Neodiprion lecontei: one gene and its partner. The protein of the gene in region 2 purifies or fractionates together with the protein of the main gene of each other region. This does not show direct contact. Links are inferred from orthologs where the notes say so. Each region holds a gene or a part of one and is shown on either strand. Other genes may lie near its edges.

Region 1 (11,843 bases), on a different chromosome or scaffold from region 2:
GACCTCATGTTTACTTGGTTCAGCCTTAACAGGTTAGTTTGCAATATCAAAAAGTGCTTCTGTCTTACTGTTGGTAAGCTCCTGTTGACTACTGATTTAAGCTATTACGTACTTAATAACTCGCAGTAAGATCTATTTTTTTAAGCGATTCTCTTCATAATTTAAGAATGTTGCTACTCTACGTTGACTTTATTATTCGTTCATTTTTCACTATTTGTCTTATTATTCTGTTATCTGGAGGCCCTAGACTTTTACTGCTGCCTATAATCTTGAAAAACTCAATCATTTTTTTTGTGGTTTGTGGGCAATGGAATTGGGAATCCATGCATTTTTGTGATCATGACTACATTATTACATCCACCCTGGATATTCCTATACTGTCTTCTGCTACGTGCAGATTTGATGTGGTATTTGCTTTTAAAATCTTAAGTAATAATATCGATTGTACTGAACTGATTTGTAAATTCTGTTTCTTTGTTCGGATTTGGCCTTTGCAGCGTAGCAATTTTTGATTCTACCCTAATTATAATCATGACTCTAGCTAGCCTATTATTAGGCTTTCATCGCTTTGTAACGAAAATGCTGAGTGACTTGACATACATAACTCAACCTTGCATATCGTCTCTCGTCAATCACGCAAACTGTTTTCATATAATTAGCGACTCTATTATACTATTTCTTTAAGTGTTAAGGATTTTTTTTTCTTCCTATGTACCACCATGTAAAATGCTTTTTTATTTTATTGTTTTATCCTTATACTATGTAAAAGGAAATTAACTCATTAAGACAAATAAATAAATCAATTTTAACCTGATTTTGGCTTTTACAACCATTGATGAACACATCAAACTATTTGTCAAAGAATCACAAGTTATTTGATGAAATTGATGATTATTACATCAAAACCAAACTAAGTTATTACAGTAAAGAATCGATTTGCAGACAACGAAGAAATTATTTAAGGCATTGCTTCAATAAAAACATTATTTTAAATGAAGTTTAACTTCAGGATGTTATTGTAATGATGTATAGTTAAATTAACTTTAGGTTCATCTGAAATTGAGCAGGTCATAATGAAACAAAATATACTCTCGGTTAATGGACAGTGATATGTTGACTGCTGAATTGTCAAGGGTAACACAGACTCGAAAGATAGGCACATTGTTAATATACTGTCAGATTGCAGGTTTAATGTTCTTGTCTCTTTAATAGCCTCAAAACATAAGGCTGAAATTCGCCATGCTAACAATACATTTTTGGGAAAAATCGTTACTTGGTAATCGTTTAAAATTTACAATTAGTTAAAAAAAAAAGCAAAGCTATCTCAACTTCTACAAAGTTATTCCACAGATTTATTTTCAATGTTCCGTTATGTTAACATTGCTTTCTTCAACTTTACATAAAAATCTGTTTGGACATGAAATTAAATACAGTGTTTGAAATGAATATTATAAAACTGTCGAAGTGCATAAGGTATTTCTTCAATTATTAGTTTTGTGAATGTTAGAGGTTAAGTCGTACCCATCGGAGGCATCGGTGTTGCTGGCATTCCTGGGAAATTGTACGCCATTGTGACTGAGCTTCTTAGCTCCTTACTTTGTTGTAAACAATAACAATTTTTTTACCGGTATGATAGAATCTCTCATGAGTAAGTTTTAGCACGCATTGAACTGGACAGCGCGTGGTCGATATGCAGCGTAACTTAGCGTCCACACAATATGACAGCAACGATGACAACTCATATGAAACGAAACAGAATCACGGAAGAGTAAAGACCGTGATCACGGTCAACGAGTCGTTTATCAAAACACACTGAACTACACTTAGTAAACATAAAACTGATTACCGAACATCACTTAAGCACTCTCATTTTCAGCACACATATACTACCGAAGAACATAGAGGTATCAAGGCATGTGTATGTCTGTGATGCTTAGATAGATTCTGACATGTGATATCCCTAGGAATTCTTCGGTATTGAATGAGCACTGTTTGCATTGCCGGCCGCCCGCCGTAGACTCTTTTTTGTTTTCTTCTCGACATCAAATGCGCCACTGGTAGTGCAAACGGTGCTCACCCCAGCTCATCCAACATCGTGGATTGTAAAATTCCTAGGGATATCGAAGTGCCAAAATCTATCTAATAGATTCCGACGATCGGCCCTGCATGGGACGGCACCTTTTAGAGCATATACCATCAGAATCAATTTAAAGTGATGAATATCACTATACAAATAAAATTCATTATTACCTTCCCCTTCAGGCCACCCTGGAATTGCGTGTTTAACGGCTGCTGCAGTCATATAACGTGAAAAATTCTCCAATACTTTTTTTCGGTACAAATGTTGGTTTTATATTTAATTACTCTTTTCTCATACGGGTGAGCCTTTCCGTTTTGTATTTTGGCTACTCTCATATAATTCCGCAAGTTGCGCAGTAGTCAAAATTTTCAAAGGGTGCATAATTTTTACATCATTCATGAAAAAGACGCATGTAATGGGTGGGTACTGCAGTTGTAGCACCTCACTTGAAGCCTAGACTGATTGGGGCATGTGGGAACAACAGTTAGAGAAAAAGTATACTTGTAAATTTTACGCAAACGAACATTTGCGATGATAAGTTTCCTTCGTTGGGAAAATTCACTTTGCCTGGCATGGCTACATTATCTTGACCTGTGGCGATCTGTACTTCACAGATATTTATCCTGATAAATATTACAAAATTAGAATAACTTTCAATTGTTCTAAAGTAATCACAGCAGGTCAGAGTATAAGAAACGATAACATTTTACATAGTTGACAATGTAATGAAATTTTCTATCGAAAAGTGTTCAAGCAAGTAGATTACTACTGTTCTTGACCGATAAATGTATATGAAATATTACCGATGTACATAAAAACTCGAATAAAGAATGTGGTTGTTGTTATTATTATCATTTTATAGGAAATCATTGAATCCTGCAATAGTAATCCTCTTGTTGATTTTCTTTTAGCATTAGACGTCAACTGGCAACTCTACTGGTTTATCACTTTTTGACTCCTCTGTTTCTGTGGATTCTTCTTCTGGCTTAGAATGCATTGGTTCTGGTGATGCAACGTTAGCAGACTCCTATAAAAATGTTGATTGTGTTACATGTCTATAAGATTCAAGAATTAGCTTTCATGAAAGAAAAATCCAAATGGCATATCTTGACAAATCACCATTAGTTGAATATAGTTGGAAACATTCCCTGACTTTCCTTCACATAAGAAAATTTTTCCCTGACTAAATTTCAAACGGATATTGCTAATTCAAGTATCTAATCAACAAATCTCCGACTCAATCTTTAATCAAAAATACATCAAAAATCTAATTAGTGGTGGCAGGAACAAGTATTTGAAAGAGGAAAATATTCTTTTGCCACTGCCTAGCCATTTCGAGTAAGGCTCGGCTGCCTTGTGGACGAAAATATTTGCAGGATAGGATGATACCAATAGTATTCATTTTCCACATGCGCAGTCGGTTACTTAACCTGCCAAGTTTCAATGTTTCTTCGCAGTATGAGTAAGGCAAAATGATAACTAGATTCGTCAGATTCTTGGTTAGTGTTTGCCGTTCCGAATATTGATAATTTGGGAGAATAAATTGGGAAGAGAGCTTGCAGTCTCAACTACTGCTTTATACGGGAGTAATAACACAACTCAATACCACGAATTTTTGTACAAATGATTGTTAACCAATGAGTTCAATAATCTCCCAAGTACTCTGTATAAATATACAGTCTATTAGAGTTGGAATAAAATTTGTAAACTATTATTAATGCAATTTTAATGATTGGCGAATTTCAAGAATGTAATAAATAAGTTTTCAACTTATCTTAGTTGAATAGTAAAATGCAAACCTTTTTATCTGATTCCCTGACTCCACATATTTCCAGTAAATTGTACTTCTTGTATTTATAATAACTGGGAGCTATTGACAGCAGACATACTCCACGTATCACTTCTACAACAACGGCAAGTTCAGGATTTTTTAGGTCTGCTTTATTGCCGGGATTTTTTTTTGCGATGATGTCAGCCAAATCTTCTATTAATTCACCCCGTTTGATGCTGTTATTGCTGTGCCGACTAAAATGAAAATATGATGATTACAAACAGATTTTATTAGAACCAGAATACTATTTGCAATCTGTGCCGTAATTTCTCACATTACAGTACTGTTTGTAGACCTAGAAATAAGTGCGAATGTTTTTAATTTTGATTATATGATACACTCCTTACATGTGTAATTGTAATCATAAGATTAAACTTTCGTTCGTAAATGCTTATTGTTGTAAATGATATGAATAATTATTATAAATAATGATTTGATGAAGTAGCGTGAATTCACGTATCTGTATCGAGGTAGTCCAAATAATAGTAAATTTAGTTCTGTCATCACCCCACCCTTTTCCTTTCTCCTTTTTCGTGAATATGTCCTCACAAATTCACCACTCTGAATTTTTTTAGATTTTTGTTTGCGAAGCAATTCAAAACACAAATAATTAATTGACCTATGGAGTGTTAAAGTTAAGATAGTACATATTTTACATAGTAACAGATATGACGTTCTCAAGGAGGGTTCTCAGTGTCAGGGGTAGGTAGCAAAACTGACTGAAGCCAATCAGTTGGTCTTCAAAGACCGTTTGCAAAAAACTTGTATTATAATAGGTATGTTATAACTTAAATATGTAAACAGTGGATTCAATTGTGTTTATAGATATACTTGTTATACTGAAAAACTACGATATGGTGTATCCGTAGGCATAGAAATGAATGGTAGAAGTGCAATGTATTTTTTAAAAAAGACAAGTTATTTATATGGGGTTCTTAAGTTAGAAGAGCAAAAAGAAAGTACTGGTGAACTTACTATACTGAAACTGGGTGAGGTGCCAAAATCTGGCCAGATCAAATCTCATTCCAAATATATGAACACAAGGAGTTTAATTTAATTAAATTAAAATCAGCTATAAGCGTTTGAGCTCTTATTTTTATCCTTTACTCTATGTTTTGAAAAGTACAAAGATATCAAAAGACAATCAAAATAATACAAATTCGTGTTATGTCCACTCTACTTTCCATGCGTCACTTATCCCAATGACCATTCACACTACATGATAAATTGTAAGCCTGTGCTACCTACCCGGTTACACTGTCAGCTCTGAAGATAATTCCTTGAAAAAAGAAAAGGAGAATACGTTCTTGAGATTAAATTACAAGTTTCGATATATTTTGCAATGTATCCCACTTTTCAAATTTCAAGAAACTGGAATATTGTCTAAATAATTAAAATATTATCTTCTTTCAACTTGCATTGTTCGCTATCAGCGAATATGAATCAGTCTAAATTCATGGTAACAGTGAATAGTTACTGATTTCTGAATGTAAGTATACCACTGGGAAAATTAGTACTTAAAATACTACTGTGAAACCATCTATTTTATCTATTCACTGATAGCAGCAAATCGTCACTGATTCCGAATTGGAGAGGGCAATGGTATTTCTTTGCAAATGACTTGGTAAAATTCACGAATGTACGAAATTTATCTCCCTGACATATCTACGGTAATGCGAAGTGAAAAAATACCTGCAAATTGATAGAGTTATTGCAGTCAAGAAAGCCATTATTTATTCAATCCAATCATCCACCTATCTCATCAGCCATCCGTCCGTCCATCCATTCATAAATCATTCATTTCATAATATACGAGTGAGTTCTGTAGTAAAATCTATTCGATTTCCCATAACGTTGACAATTTAGGTGTTCCATTATGTCGCAACTGTTGTAAATTTTACAGAGAAATGAAATGTACCATTATATTTTTCACTGTGATTATTTATTTATTCATTAACTGACTAATTTTGGTGCAATGAGAAAACTACTGTAAGTAAAAAATACGTACTTGAATATGATGGCAAATGTTTTTGGCTCTTGGGCAAAATATTTTTCAAACAATGTGTTGGCCTTCAATTTTATGTCATCCATGTACGCCTTACAAACAATTTCAACGGGCAGCAACCGCATCAGATATCGGGTTCTCTGTTTTTTTGTTTCATACAATTCTTTGATGATAGTAGAAACTAATTCCAGCGGATTAGGTATGGTTGTTCTAATAAAAACGACACTTTTTACACCTGTGTCTACAACCTGTAAATGCATAAAATGCAGTTTACTTTTTACGTTACATTATTTTATTATAGTAATTTTTTTTCAATCTATCTGCTTTTACATTAGTTATGACAAACCACTTACTTGGAAACGACGTAAATTCACAGGCTTTTGAGATTCTGCCTTCAGTTCAGCAACTTCTTTCTTCAATGCTTCTGAAATATCCACTGAATCTTCCTCTTCCTGTGATATTTTCTCATTACCATTTTCTGTCTCATTTTGTTCAGTAGAGGCTGTTTCATCTGATGCTCGCGTACAAAGCTCAGTCTGTAAATTTGTTTGAAGAGCTGATGAGTTTAACCATACCATGACATAATAAAGGATTAAATTACAGAATAATCTCATCGGTCTAGGAACTTCTATACTGTTAACATTGCTGTACGTAGGCCACTTGTTAGGCTTGTTTTTAGTTCAACATGTGTGCTAAACGCAGAACCACTTTTAAGAAGATGTGTGTATGACAAAGAATTAGAGATAAGGTTCAAGTTCATAACGTTAACATAATGATGCATTCATAGAAATACTCGTTATTTCACAATTCTAGGATTGTGTAAAATCCACTAAAACATAATATTGCATTAAGACACTTGTGATATTGTGATATATCAATTTCTTTAAAGTCAGTTTAGAACTGGAAAATGGTGATTTTTCTTACATTTCGTTACATTAACGTTACTAACTTTAACTTCGCTACCCTTTCTATTCTCAAAAGTTCAACAAAGACAGTTTATTCTGAACATTTCTGAACAGCTGATTTTCTAACAACAATACAATCTTATATGACCAATGACTTCATCTCACTAGATCTGCCAACTGATACGTTGACATGTGTGAATGAGATGCTGATGATGTACTGAGATCATTTTAATAACTTGAAGGTCATTTGTGTAACTATTGAATCAACAAAGTATCTACTCGCATTACAAAGTGAACCTTCACAGAAAATTTTGGATACTCCAGATATGTTAAATGTTCAAGACTCCTTGATTTTTACAATAAATTGGAATGTCCGAATTTAAGGCATCTTGAAATTGAGTGACAAGTGTTAGATTAAGTTCGACCTCTGTTAAACGTTCATTATAATTTCGATAAATGGTCGTATTGTAACGAAGTTCACACCTCTTATACACGCATGGCTGATGCCGATCTAATATTCATAAAATGTTTAATCACTTGTTTAATGTGTGGTTACTTGGCCAATTAATATGGCTGTAATAAAAGTCAGTCTTCAGACTTTAACGGGAGTACTTTGATTTCAAATCATATCTGCTTTTTCGCATATTATTCTTTGCTGTAAGACTTTTTTCACTCGACGTTTGCTCGATATGCATGAAGAATCATTCATTTTCTTAGAGACAATTCGCAAATTGCTCTTTATTACAGTATGTTATAGCTATTCGAAACCACAATACACACAAGAGGGACAAACTATGCTGCCGGTGTCTGTAATGTTGAAGGAGTGAATTTTTTAAAAATTCTACTTGCATGAAAAATTGGTGTTCTCAAAAGCTTGTTCGAACACTTTATTTTTTCTGAAAAGTTTGGGACACACAAACGTTTGACATATTTAGAGTCTCTACTTCATACAAAGATAAACTTGAATTAAGTGAACGATTACACATACTATTTGGTCTATTTTTTCGGTCAGAATTCTTGCGTGTGTGCAGAAATGAGTTACAGCGAAGACTGATTTTTTTCATTCACAGCTTAAATGCCCAATGTAACTGCATAGTAATTCTAGCTGTCATCTATCAAAATTACTTCATCGTACCTGTTCAATACCATAAAGATTATCTGCATATTCTGACAGTACACTGTACACTTCGCGAACGCAGTCTTTTTCTCGGAAATTACACGTGCAAAAAAAGCCTTTGATTCCTGGCTCCAAATTATACTGTTTCCGTTTCTTCTGATAATTGTGATGTCCTGAATAGTAATTTTTCTTGCGTTTTTGTGAATCCATTTCGACGTTAATTCACTTTATTACTCGATCACTCATTTCTTCACCATCAAACAATACTTCAGATGCTAGAACTGTTTACAGTTCACCGACATACATTCTAGGTTAGGTGAGGTTATGTGTATGTAAGATGATTAGGGCCGTAGACTTTTTTTGCCGCCGACGGCGCGGCGCTGCCGCATCAATTTGTCGTCGCGTCAATTCGAGGGCCGTGAAAATCCAGCTTAAGGACAGATTGTATACTTACTACTTTCAAGATCTCTAGATTATACAGGTCAAGACACGCGTGTTCCAGTTTTTCTCATTATACGTGGGCAAAAATGTTCTATGCGCGTTCGCCCAAAAAATATCAAACTTACATTACCGCATTAACCAGTTTTGACCAATCTTGCGCAATTTTTTGAGGTTAAGCATTAACGAGTTGAGTCCTTAGTGGCCTGACATTCACGAAATAAATAGAAGCACGTATATATTTTGAGGTTAATCATTGTGACAGGTCAGGAATCAGAACCACACCGGGTGCTTTCCATTTAGAGCACAGTGTGACACAGTGTACACATTTCTATTGTAAGCGCTCAATCCGGGCAAAGGAATAGACCAGAAATGTTTACACCGTGTCATGCTGTGCTCTAAATGGAAAGTATCTATTGTCATACGACTTTTGGGGCATTTTCACTAATTTTTTTGCCCACGCGTGTCTTGACCTGTATAATCTAGGGACCTTGACTACTTTGTGCCGACTGTGGCGCTGTAGGTTTCTCTGTGTTGTCAACATAACTGTCTAGTGTAAGAATTAGCCGTGTCAAATTTATTGTCCCCAAGTGTACACATACATACGTGCGCACAAAAAATATAAATATTATTTTTTTCGGAAAGTAAACATTACATGCGGATATATTTTTTAATGAAAATAAATATCTAAGATATTGTTTTAAAATATATAATGTAATAATACAATATCGTATCATATGAACAGTATAATGAGTCAGAGAAGACCTTTCCATAACTTGTCAAAAATACAGCAGAAGAGTCGGGAGAATCTTACAAGTTGTCAATCGATAAGTTTGCCCAACGAATTTCTTCATCAAGATAAGAAATATTCACATGAGGCTGTAAACAAGACTAAAACTCATATTCAGCTTTAAAGCATGACAAATATGCTTGTATAACAATAAGTGATAAGTATTGATGTAGCTTACATCAAATCTTTTACAGGCGACAGTGGCATCTCTAAGACGATCAATTTAGTTTTTCACAGTTTTGTACGAAGTCAAGGTTGAGCTGCGAATACCGGGCGAACAGCATCAAGTGATCAAACTGATAGAGGTTATAGACCCGGTGACCAGCTGAGTAAATTAACCCAAAGAACATTTGGTCTCCAAAGTCCCGTTCGCGAGACACGACCGGTTAAAAAAATCCAGCCAAGTGCGGGCATGAACGCAATCGAGTAAACTAAACGCCAGCATGGGAGCAAACGAGTACTCAGCAGGCAGCGGTTATTGATCTTGTTGATGTGCACTCGGATGCTGATGCAGAACATAACGCTTTCAAATTCACGAATTTTGAAGGAAAACAGTCTTGACTTTAAATTTAGATCGCTAGTCACTGCCTACTGTGTACCCGGTTGCTGACATGCTGGCGCTTGGTGTACTCGGTTGCCTAAATGCCGGCGCTTCGCGGGATTTTATTAATCAGTCGTATCTCGTGAATGCGACTTTGGAGACCACATGTTCTTCAGGTTAATTTACTTAGCTCGACCATCTCTATAGCCCCCATCAGTTTGGTCACTTAATGCTGAGTCACCCTGTATTTTGGAAAAATTTTGAACTACTTCATTTTTAGTTCTCCTCGCTTCAAGAATGTTCCTACGAAGATTTTTTTTTCCTTCTATTGAGCATTTTTAAAATTGTGAATTAAAAAAATTTAATCTCTTAAATTTTCAAAATAGCCGACAAATTCTGAAACACTTTTCTCTTTGCTAGAAGTACATGGAAGATGTCTCAAAGGCTGAACCTATTTTATGAATTTTTCCTAAAATTTGGAAATGGTAATTGGGTTTTAATTGAGAAAAATTATGCAAGTTCTTGAATAACTATAAAAATGAATAATGGAAATGAATCTAACATAAGGTTCGTTGCAAATTAATTGGAATGAAGAATAAACGTCTTGTGAATTTAGTTTAAATTTTGATAATCTGTTAACATCGTTTTTCAGTAATATAACTTTTTGGAAATGTGACAAAAAATAGCTAAAAAAATTATTTTACCTTTTGCATAATATTGACGTACTTATCAAACCATATTTTTCTTCTCAATTGTTGAAAAGCTAAACGATGAATTCATTTACACGACGGCTGTTATTCTGGTTTCACTATGGCCGATGTAGTAATATCGGATGTAAAAATGCATACTAAAACTGAAATAACAGCGCCGTGTAAACATACTCGTTGTTATTTTCAGTTCATGGTTCTCCAGAGTATTAAAAAAAAACGGTCAAGAATCTTTTTCTCACAGGGCAAATTTTGAAATGTTCAGAATGACACAAAACACACTATTGAAAAATCAACAGCTGTTTTTTAATAACTGATTTTCAAGGGGAATAATCCGATGGCTTTCAAATCATTAAATCCTGTTTCCAACGCAAAGTTATCCGTAAAGTCAATTTTTGTCCTGTCGGTTGTACCTACTACTGTCATCAAAAGATACTCATACTTATAATCTGCTATTCCACATCAAAGGAAATTGAAGCTAGAATAGTTACACCTTGCGCTATTGCACATTTATTTAATTTCATGAATGATTTTCATTGTCGTTTATTCATAACAATTTATAAATTTCACCTCCTCAACACTACAACACTCAGAAAACTTTCAACTTTCGTCCTGAACGACGGAATTGCAAGTGACATCATTATTACCGTACGGAGGAACTTGTAACAAAAAGTCCCGTATTGACGGTAATGTATGGACATTTCGTACATTTCGACAAAATTTCTTGGTGAAAATAGGAAAAAATAATGGTTTTGCCATGAATAACATCTTAAAAATATGAGCGTTTTCTATAATTCCGACTAAATAATATCATCAAGGTTTACGAGGTGTCCGCTAATTACTAGTCAGTATGGGAATTCTTGTTACAAAAAGTTCCTCGATGATAATATAGTTCACTTTCTTCAAGAAATAAAATTTAAAAATTACCCACTATCCTACAGGCAAAATTCAGTAATTCAAATTATTACACAATTGTATCCTCTGGGTAATATTATTATTAGGGGTTACCGGAAAAGTTCTGAAATTCCGGGTAAAATATTATCGCCTTTGTCGGAAATACATATTCTCAAATCCGAAATATCTAATAATCAACGCGGGCACTGCTACAAATGTATAATAAAGTGGTCAGATATGGACAATTTTAATCTGAGCCACTTGATAATAAATTTCTGAACAATCTTATGTTTGGGGATCAGTGGACGAAGTCACAATCTAACCAGGTAATGTAAATAGAAGTTGAAAAAAAGAACCCTGATCATTTTCGAATTTTTTTTAATTACTTTTGTGTCAATGGTTGCCTGAGGTTCATCAGGGTTTGTTACAGCGCGGACTCGAACATTATTAACAATCGAACGTTACCTTATTTCCAAAATGTATTTACAAGTAGTATTTTTATGTAGAATGGTTCGGGTTTTCCGATGCAAATAAA
Region 2 (8,845 bases):
GTTTCTTTGAGTAAAGATACTTCATCATCCTGGACGTGTGAGATTTCTGTAATTGGTTCTTCGACCTTTTCATCAATGTTCGGTATTTTCATTTCATAATATTGTTTCAAAAGTTGCAATGCTCGGGTGCCATATCCCATCTGCAACAGGAAATGAATTATCTTGTTACTATTTCTGAAAAGAAAAAGAAGAAATGTATAATCGTCTTACCGCCTGATAATCAGGGTGTGTTGCAATTCTGACAATTCGCGCTCCTGCAAGTGTAGGAAAGTCCTGATCTTGATACTGCTGAGCAATAGTCCACGGAATAAGATCACCAGCAGCTCTCCGTCCTCTTCCAAGACCATCTGCAACCGTAGATTTGCTGACTTGACCTTCTAAGCATAACTGCAGGAAAAGATTGTTGTCAGACATTGTGTACAGGTATCATGTATACTAAATAAGACAATGGATACAAACCTGAATTACTACTAATATTTCAGGCAATGCTTTTTTGTTTGGGTCAACAGGTCCCAACAAGCAGAACAAATGGTGTGCCGGAGCATCCGACATCATTTGGAGGTCATTTGGGCTATTCTGTGAAGGTTTGTTATGCGTTTGTAAAATGGTGTAATAATCACGATATACATATATAGATATACATATAATACCGGCGATTCATGCAATATGACAAAATATATCACATAGCCATATACTTACTTTATAATGTGAAGCGACGTACAATGCAACCAACCTTTGCAAAAACATTTCCGAAGCTTTGTGGTAGCAAAATAAAGTGTCCCTGAAGGTCAAAATATGTTCATAATTCAATGTAAAATTTTTAATGCTTATATTCTGCATTATTACATGAAAATCCAGAGATAAAATAGGGATTACCTGTTGATGTAATACAATTGACAAGTATCAGGAGGTGGACAACCAGAAAGAATAGGAGCTTGCGTCATTGCATCAAGACAAAGTAGTTCAGTGAGCCACTGCTCAACAGAATCACCAGACTTGTATCTGATAGATTCTTCAAGTGTAAGTTCATGCAACTGCCTTCCAACTGTCTGAGTATCTTTACTAGACTGGAAACTCTTGTCATGTTTATTTGATCCCGACGTTTGGCTTCTCAATTGTTGCAACAGTTTCAAGGATAAAGATCGTCCAGTACCTTCGTACCTGTCAATGTGTATATTATGTAATTTACTAACTTCTTAAGTTAAGTGAAAGAATTTATAAGTTAGATTATCCAATTTACCCATTTATTGTGGAAGCAAGAAATACCAAGTAAGGACCTAGCATGGCCTTGACATAAGGCAACGGTATCGCTGCTGCTTCATCAATTACAAGCAACTCTGCTTGACTTAGTTTCTGTACATCGGTTGGATAAATATACTGCAATCATCAATTGATATCGTCAAGGTGGATATGTGCTATGAATTATCCTATATTAAGTAATTTCAGACAAAGTTACCATACCTGAATGGTTTGTCGATGGTCTCTGAAAATGTTTACCCGAACAGTTGCTTTATTGAATTCTGGATTAGTTGACTGTACAAGTCCATAATCTAAATGTTCCTGATATGCCAAAGCATCAAATCCTGTAAATATACACTAGTACATGTAAAAGTTTACTGTTCAATGATCAGTCAACTGATAACTATTTATTCATGGGGGTAATGGATACTTGCCTTTAAAAACAAAATCAAAGAATGTATTCAAATTCTCTGGGCTCGGACTAGAAACATATATGTTAGAGTAGCCAAATGCTACAGCTGCAGCAACAGCAAGACCCATTGTTGCGGATTTTCCACGTCCTCTGGCAGCGGTTAGAGAAACAGTAGATCGAAGTGTTTTTTCAGATATTGTTTCAATAAATGTGAGCAAAGCCTTAGCCTACAAAAAAATTTGATGTTATTTTGTTCCTAACGTGAATCAGTAGCAACTATGGATTGAAAAAAAAAAATTGCTGAGTTTTACCAAGTATTTTGCCGATGATTTGATAGAAAAATTATTAGAGCAAGATTCGTTACCAACTCCAGTGAAAACTTGTAGATATTATAGACACACTATATTCACCTGGTCAACAGTCTTACAGCAATTAACAAGTGCAGAGACAGGCTGAGTGTCACGAAGGCTATCTTTCAATATGTCTAGTTCACTTTGCTCTTCAGATTCTCTGGTGGTTTCTACTGTTTCAATTTTCAAATTTTGCGAGGATATCGGAAGCACCCTCAGCTGATCATCTACAACAAGACAACGGTTGCAAGATGCAAGAGAAAGTAGAAATCTCTCGTTAAACCTGCACACCACATCCTGAAATATGTTTTACGATAATTATAAAAGATATTGCTAGTTGTGAGAATGAATATCAGAGTTATTTTTTAATTTCACCTGATGAGCCTCGGTGCGAAAACGTTGATGAACATCCATAGTCATTGTATATAACTGTTTCAAAGAGTTCAGAGATTGTAGAAGTAAAACAATTATTCCACCTCCCTCCACAGTTTCAATCGTACGAGCCAACAGATTTGGAGTTAGTGCTTCAAAGTCCTGAAAATGCATTGAAGTCACTTATATTAAGTATAAAAAAATACATAGAGCTATTTTCAATAAGATCAAGATCCACTTAGAGCAAGAGCAGTAATTTACTCATGATGATAATCAGACTTACCTGGAGAACACACATGCCAAATGTGTTGCCCAAAATCTTATGTGTTTCGGAATAGTAGCAGTAGCGAATGTCAGTTGAAACGACAAATAATTCAAAAGGATCATCCTCATTGACGTTCAGCTTCCCAGATTTTATCTTTTGTTGTAATGACTTCATACGCTTCTTACGGTGGCTGCTGAAACCCAGTTCTTTTTTATAGCACCACAGCACAGAGGGTCGTGCTTTGATCACCGACTTTGACAGCATATGATGTAGTATGACCACCTAACCAATTTCGATGAATCCAGGAAGTTTATATTAGTGACACTGAGTTGTATTAATACGTCAATTGTTGGTAAAAACTTGACTATTGTTAGAGTTTAAATTCTGTTACCTAGTGACAGTGCTTACCTGATCACGCGCTTTATCACCGACAACAACGAACATTGTTCTGTGACCGAACTTGACTCCATTCTCGATTAAGATGCGAATCCTGTTATCTATCTTTTTTCGCACCATACTTATACAGATTTTTCACAAAATCAAGTTATATTATAAAATCAAAACCTTACGTATTACACTTTCTAAATTCAAGTAGAAGTTTGAGGTTAAGTTGACAAACCACGCGCAGCGGCACAAGCAGACGTACACCACAGGTACGAGTCGAAAATAAAACTGAGCAGCAGCATTGAGCAGCATCAGGGATCAGCGTTGCCAGCCCTCTGGTAGCAACAGGTCGTACTGAAAGTGAAGATGGACTTTACTTTAAAATTTCGGAACTGTACAAAGATTTCACGATATATATTTTCAGTCAACGGAAGTACATTTTTGTTCTTTTTTTTCTACGGTCGTATAATTATCACGATTTTGCTTCTTTTCTCAAAGGCCAGACAGGTTTTAACCAAATTATTTACATTTTTGCGTTCAAGAATATTTGAAGCTAATCATGGAGACTAGCTAGTCTTCATGAAACTAACGATAAAAATGATGAATTACTTACTTACACGACGCAATTGGTAGAGATTTGTAGAAAACATTTATTTATTTATTTTCGAATCAATAATGAAACACATATAACCCGAAATGTGAATTACTGGGACAGTTCCTTCATACTTCTGTACCTGATTCTTTTGCAATATCGGAGGCTGAATCGCGGTTACGATCAAGCAACTGAACCGTATGTCCGTACAGGAGGTAAAATTACTGTACCAATACGATCCTGATCGTACGATTGGAAAAACTGGCAGGGATGGTGATGATCATACGATACGAAAGCAACTCAACGTACAGAAAAGCCAATTGGGTTGCCTGTGATAAGGCGAATAATCGAAGTATTGAATAACATTTCTCAATATACATAAAATGTTGTTTTTTGATTTTGCACCCGAATGAGCGTCGAGAATTGAGTATTCTACTGATATTATTTGCTCGGAGATTTTCATCAATAAACACGACCTGATCATCATACCAGCTGGAAGCTCGTGGTCCGCGGTGAGCAAGGTGCTCATTACATCCGCTGAGGGTATCGATGAATTATTGAGTAGGCAGGATATTTCTTCGGCAGGAAAAATTGCAGCCCAGAGAACCCCATATTTTACAAGATGATAGAATGCACGGATATTTGAAGAGTTCCGCTCCTTGTTGATGTATGTTAACTCCTCAATTATGCTATGTTCTGGAATGAAATGATGTGTTCGCTATGTATATGTACACACGAAATTATCGAATTGTAAAAGATGTATAGTGACAAGGAAATGGAACGAGCTTTAATACTTATTTCATAATGAATGAGTAAACGTCCTTTGAGTATGACATGAAACGGCGGTTGTTTGACATTTAAGAAGTTAGATTCAGAAAGTCATTTGTAGAGTGAAGATTCGTTAAATAGTCGCCAGTAGAGATCTTTAATACTTGCCAAATGAGCTCTTTATATCTATTTTTTTTCATTGCTATCTTGGTTCGTGTACACGCCAACAATTATGAAATTCAAAAGCTCACAATTGACTTTTTCGAAAGAAAATTCATACGTCAGGTCACAGTTTTCGCTTGTTGGGATACCCATGGTAGGACTAATGGGTATTACTTTTTCGTCGAGTTATTCTGAATAGAATTTGTTCACGAAATGAATCTTCATAATTAGATTATAACACTATAAGCAAATTGCTTGAGAGAATGTCAAACTGTTCTAACCCAAACCGTTTGAGACCTTATTTTAAAAATTCATGTTCATTCCCATAATTTTTAAGTTTGAGAAACGTCTATGGAATGTTAATTCATTTTCTATAGGATTCCTACGTATGAATCAGATGTCAATATTGGTATCTGTTATTATAGGCAAAATAAAATTCCTTGTGGAAACTTGTCTCAAGATTTATTATGAAAATTCAGATGGATTGTTTTAGGTAGGGAAAGAACAATTACATTATCACTAATTTTACCTTGGTTGCATTGGTCAACAGAGCAGGTAAATTTTTATCACCACTCCACGGTATCTAAGCTGAAACTTACGTACATTCCCATACCATCCGATGCTTTGGACATGAGAAGATTGTTAACTGTTAATTATTACACTCTTGGTATAATCCTCAACTTGGACTGCCGATACAGCGACTCTGTTCTGTCAGAAGTGAGCTTGAGTTACAAATCTTTTTCAACCTATATTATATATGTATTTATACTTGAAATGCACTTTCATACCTCTGGATACTAATTAATCAATATTTTTCAGTTTTCAAGGCAGCAACTTCCATATAATCAAAGTTATCACTGGTTATTGGTAACCAAACTAGATACACCTCCTATCACAACGCTCCATGACCTGCCACTGACCATAGATACGGAAATGTCAGTAGCTGTAAAAAGTGGATTGGATTACATCTTGTATGATGTCTACAACCCAAGTTACAGACACGGCGGAATATTAAATGTAACATACATGGGAAAATGGAATCAGTACAGTGGTCTGGACATTAAACTTACTCAGTACAAGTATCAACGGCGTGCGAACTTGGAGGGTCTCTGTATTAATGTGTCACTTGTTGTTCGTACAATGAATAATTTAGAAAAAAAAATATTTCCAGTATCTCCGCATTTTTCTCTTCCTCTGTCAGCATTACTTGTTCATAGGATGCCTAGCTGATCAGAAATTTTTTTTGTTCTCAGCTTCTACATGAGCCAACTCCAGATTTCACAACTTACATGACAAATCCAATTAATCGACACCTCGACACAATGCATCGCTACAACTACGCACTGATCCGAAATTTACAAGATTATTACAATTTCACGCAAGTATTTTCAACTGTTTGAATTCTCGACAAGATTCACACAAAGATCTTGACGTAACAGTCGCTCGTTTTTTACATGCACAACAAATAAAAATACGTTGTTTTTCCACATAAATAGAATTCATTTGAAACTAACGGATAGCTGGGGCTACTTGATAAACGGATCGTATAATGGTATGGTAGGAGATCTGATTGCCGGAATTGCTGACATTGGAGGAAGTCCGATAATGTTCAAAAATGAACGTCTCAAAGTGTCGGAGTTTACAGTACAAACATACATGGCAAAGTTGTTCAACCTGGCAATATGACCTCATAATTAAACATTTATCGCCCCTTAATATAATTTCTATTTCTTACAGAGGCTGTTTCATATTTCGCCATCCAAAAAAGCGTACAGTTCACAATGGATTTTTAAAGCCATTTAAGAAGGAGGTCTGGTATTTCACTATTATCATGGCTGTACTAAGTTGGATTCTACTCTGGCTCACAGCAAGAGTTGAAATCCATTTTCGAGATCACCCACCGCTTAACACTCTATACTCGCATACAGGATCTGAAACAGCTTTGATTACATTGGCTGCTGCATGCCAACAGGGTAAAAATAAATTTACTGCAGTTGACCAATATATTGCTTATGTCCAGTTTATTCATCAAAGTTGTTGGAGATGAGATGGGATAAGTCTGACTTGATAATCTAGGTTTATCGGACGGTCCTCAGCTTTACTCTGGGCGTTTGGTATTCCTCTCACTATTTTTGTGGACTCTCTTACTCTACCAGTATTATTCAGCAAGTATTGTTGGTTCTTTATTGGCAGAACCGCCACGATACATTAAAACACTGCAAGATCTATTGGATAGTGATATGCCTGTAGGGCTTGAAGACATCGCCTACACTCGCAACCATTTTGCGGTAAGGGAATTCTCATTCGCTTGCATACTATCCATGGAACGATAACGGTGCAACTATTTCTTGGCAGACTACAACAGATCCGATTGCCCTGGAACTTTATAGGCGCAAAGTTGCACCTGGAAAAGGTCGAAAATATGCCGCCTACTTCAATGTAACCGACGGGCTCCGTAGAGTGCAAAAGGGCAATTTTGCTTATCACACGGATGTTGATTCTGCGTATAAATTTATAACGGCAAGAGACCAGCTCAATATATCATAACATATAACAACATATGCATATATGAATGTAATGAATAATTATCTACTATCTAATTTGATTTTATCTAATAATTATTTCTAGGATGAATTTACTGAAGATGAAATTTGTGATCTAGTTGAAATTACATTATTTCCTGCTCCGCATCTTGGCACTGTTACTAGTAAACATTCCCCGTTCAAAAAAATGGTCACCTATGGGTCTGTACATTCAATCATATTTAACAGAAATACTTTTGATACATGGCATATATCCTGTGTTTTCGAGTACCCACTGCATTTAGGTAACTTGGTCTACTTTCTTTTGTCTCGAGCTATTGCTTCTACATGGGCCTGTGTTAAATATCCTATGGTGTGCATCCTCGAAAACATGAGATAAAAATGACAAAAATTTATTGGTTCAATAACTCGAACTGTAAACGTCCTTTACAGACTGCGTCAAATTATTGAACATGGAATAGGAGAGAGGATAAAACATGTATGGCGGTACAGACAGCCACTCTGTCCTGCAAGCTACAAGTTGAAACCTGTTCAAATTCCAGTTGGAGAATTTATACCGGCATTGTTTTTACTGTTATTCGGAGCTATCGGGGCAGCTACAGTATTCTTTATAGAATACTTTGTTAAACAGGGTATTCCATGTAGTTGGATTATTGGACAATTTATGCGAAAATCACAATGAACTACTAGTTGAAAATTTTATAAATATTATATGCAGTCGACCGAGAAATATAATGTTGTGTTTGTAGAAAGTAGAGATTGATTTAATGTGACAAATTCATCAAATACTGATGTTATCTCAAAAATTTAATTTAACCAACCATTACTCTATACTGTTCCACATAGGATTAGTTTTGTTATCTGGTATTTAATGGCAATGGTGAATCATACATAGTGATGTTTGGGAGTTGGTCTTTTCCAGTCCTTTCCCCGCCACTCCCCAACTTCCACACATCACTATGCACTACGCATTAGTTTTGTAATTCAATAATTTAAATTTAAAAAAGACCTTAATGACATCACTATGGCATAGTTACCACTTCAATCCTTCCACTAGTTATATCAGCACTAATTGGTTCTATTTTAAATTGCGAGTACTGGTAAATGAATAAATAGGTACGTGGGAAGTATAGGTCTTTTTTGAATCAACAAATTGAGTTGAATTCTGGTGAATGAACCATAAACAAAATGATGATATGCATGCAAAATAAACTATAGGTATTTATACGTCACAATATCTCTTAATATATTTCTCTCAATATATCTTGCACAGCTAATAAAATTTGTGTAACTAATGTTAATTTGTCACTTTTATGATTTTTAAAGTGGAGGTAGAGGATTGTTATTAGATATACTTCAGTAGAATAACCACCTGGTATATTTTCGGATTTGATATCTGAACAAAAAATGTAACGTACATATATTCTTTTGCAAATCCATGTTTAACAAACAGTCTTGTGTACAGCAAAAGCGTTTGTATGTACATTTTAATAGATAGTTAGTAGCAATAGGTACTATTGCTCTCAACATTTTGCTGCAATTTTCGATACATGTCTTACAATGTAATATGAAACGTAAATTCTAAACAGTTACATAAGCTTGAATTACGTTTCAATGCAATTCATTAGCTGATAAAAATTGTATGAAGTACAGTATTTGATCCTATAATTATTTATTTACAAATAGTATTAAAAACTGCGATTAGATATGAGTGCGATTTACGCTTTTTCATAACTTCCGGCACTTTTAAAAATTTTT

The links. Proteins that work in one complex are often made in the same cells at the same time.
Region 1: the proteins of RNA cytidine acetyltransferase (region 2) and THUMP domain-containing protein 1 homolog purify together in Homo sapiens (co-immunoprecipitation; 3 studies listed by BioGRID and IntAct, counting the BioPlex papers as one, with this or other methods). This does not show direct contact. The link is inferred for Neodiprion lecontei from reciprocal best matches to the Homo sapiens genes NAT10 and THUMPD1.

Annotation. Positions count from the first base shown.
Region 1 is NC_060262.1:19,550,906-19,562,748, forward strand, and holds THUMP domain-containing protein 1 homolog, read right to left. Parts: upstream 8,336-11,843; 5' UTR 8,149-8,335; coding exon 7,957-8,148; intron 6,453-7,956; coding exon 6,270-6,452; intron 6,165-6,269; coding exon 5,920-6,164; intron 4,106-5,919; coding exon 3,880-4,105; intron 3,108-3,879; coding exon 2,994-3,107; 3' UTR 2,579-2,993; downstream 1-2,578. Other genes in the region: ecto-NOX disulfide-thiol exchanger 2, read right to left, coding at 2,251-2,302. UniProt on the Homo sapiens protein: Functions as a tRNA-binding adapter to mediate NAT10-dependent tRNA acetylation modifying cytidine to N4-acetylcytidine (ac4C).
Region 2 is NC_060265.1:2,753,587-2,762,431, reverse strand, and holds the start of RNA cytidine acetyltransferase, read right to left. Parts: upstream 5,074-8,845; intron 4,712-5,073; coding exon of another isoform or gene 4,554-4,711; exon of another isoform or gene 4,488-4,553; intron 4,311-4,487; 5' UTR 4,104-4,310; intron 3,825-4,103; exon of another isoform or gene 3,636-3,824; intron 3,377-3,635; 5' UTR 3,155-3,376; coding exon 3,047-3,154; intron 2,921-3,046; coding exon 2,657-2,920; intron 2,536-2,656; coding exon 2,377-2,535; intron 2,299-2,376; coding exon 2,062-2,298; intron 1,879-2,061; coding exon 1,674-1,878; intron 1,584-1,673; coding exon 1,462-1,583; intron 1,378-1,461; coding exon 1,241-1,377; intron 1,162-1,240; coding exon 877-1,161; intron 782-876; coding exon 700-781; intron 577-699; coding exon 460-576; intron 388-459; coding exon 211-387; intron 141-210; coding exon 1-140. Other genes in the region: ionotropic receptor 75a, read left to right, coding at 4,554-4,698, 5,095-5,261, 5,364-5,675, 5,798-5,922, 6,041-6,208, 6,282-6,517, 6,621-6,832, 6,900-7,064 and 2 more. UniProt on the Homo sapiens protein: RNA cytidine acetyltransferase that catalyzes the formation of N(4)-acetylcytidine (ac4C) modification on mRNAs, 18S rRNA and tRNAs.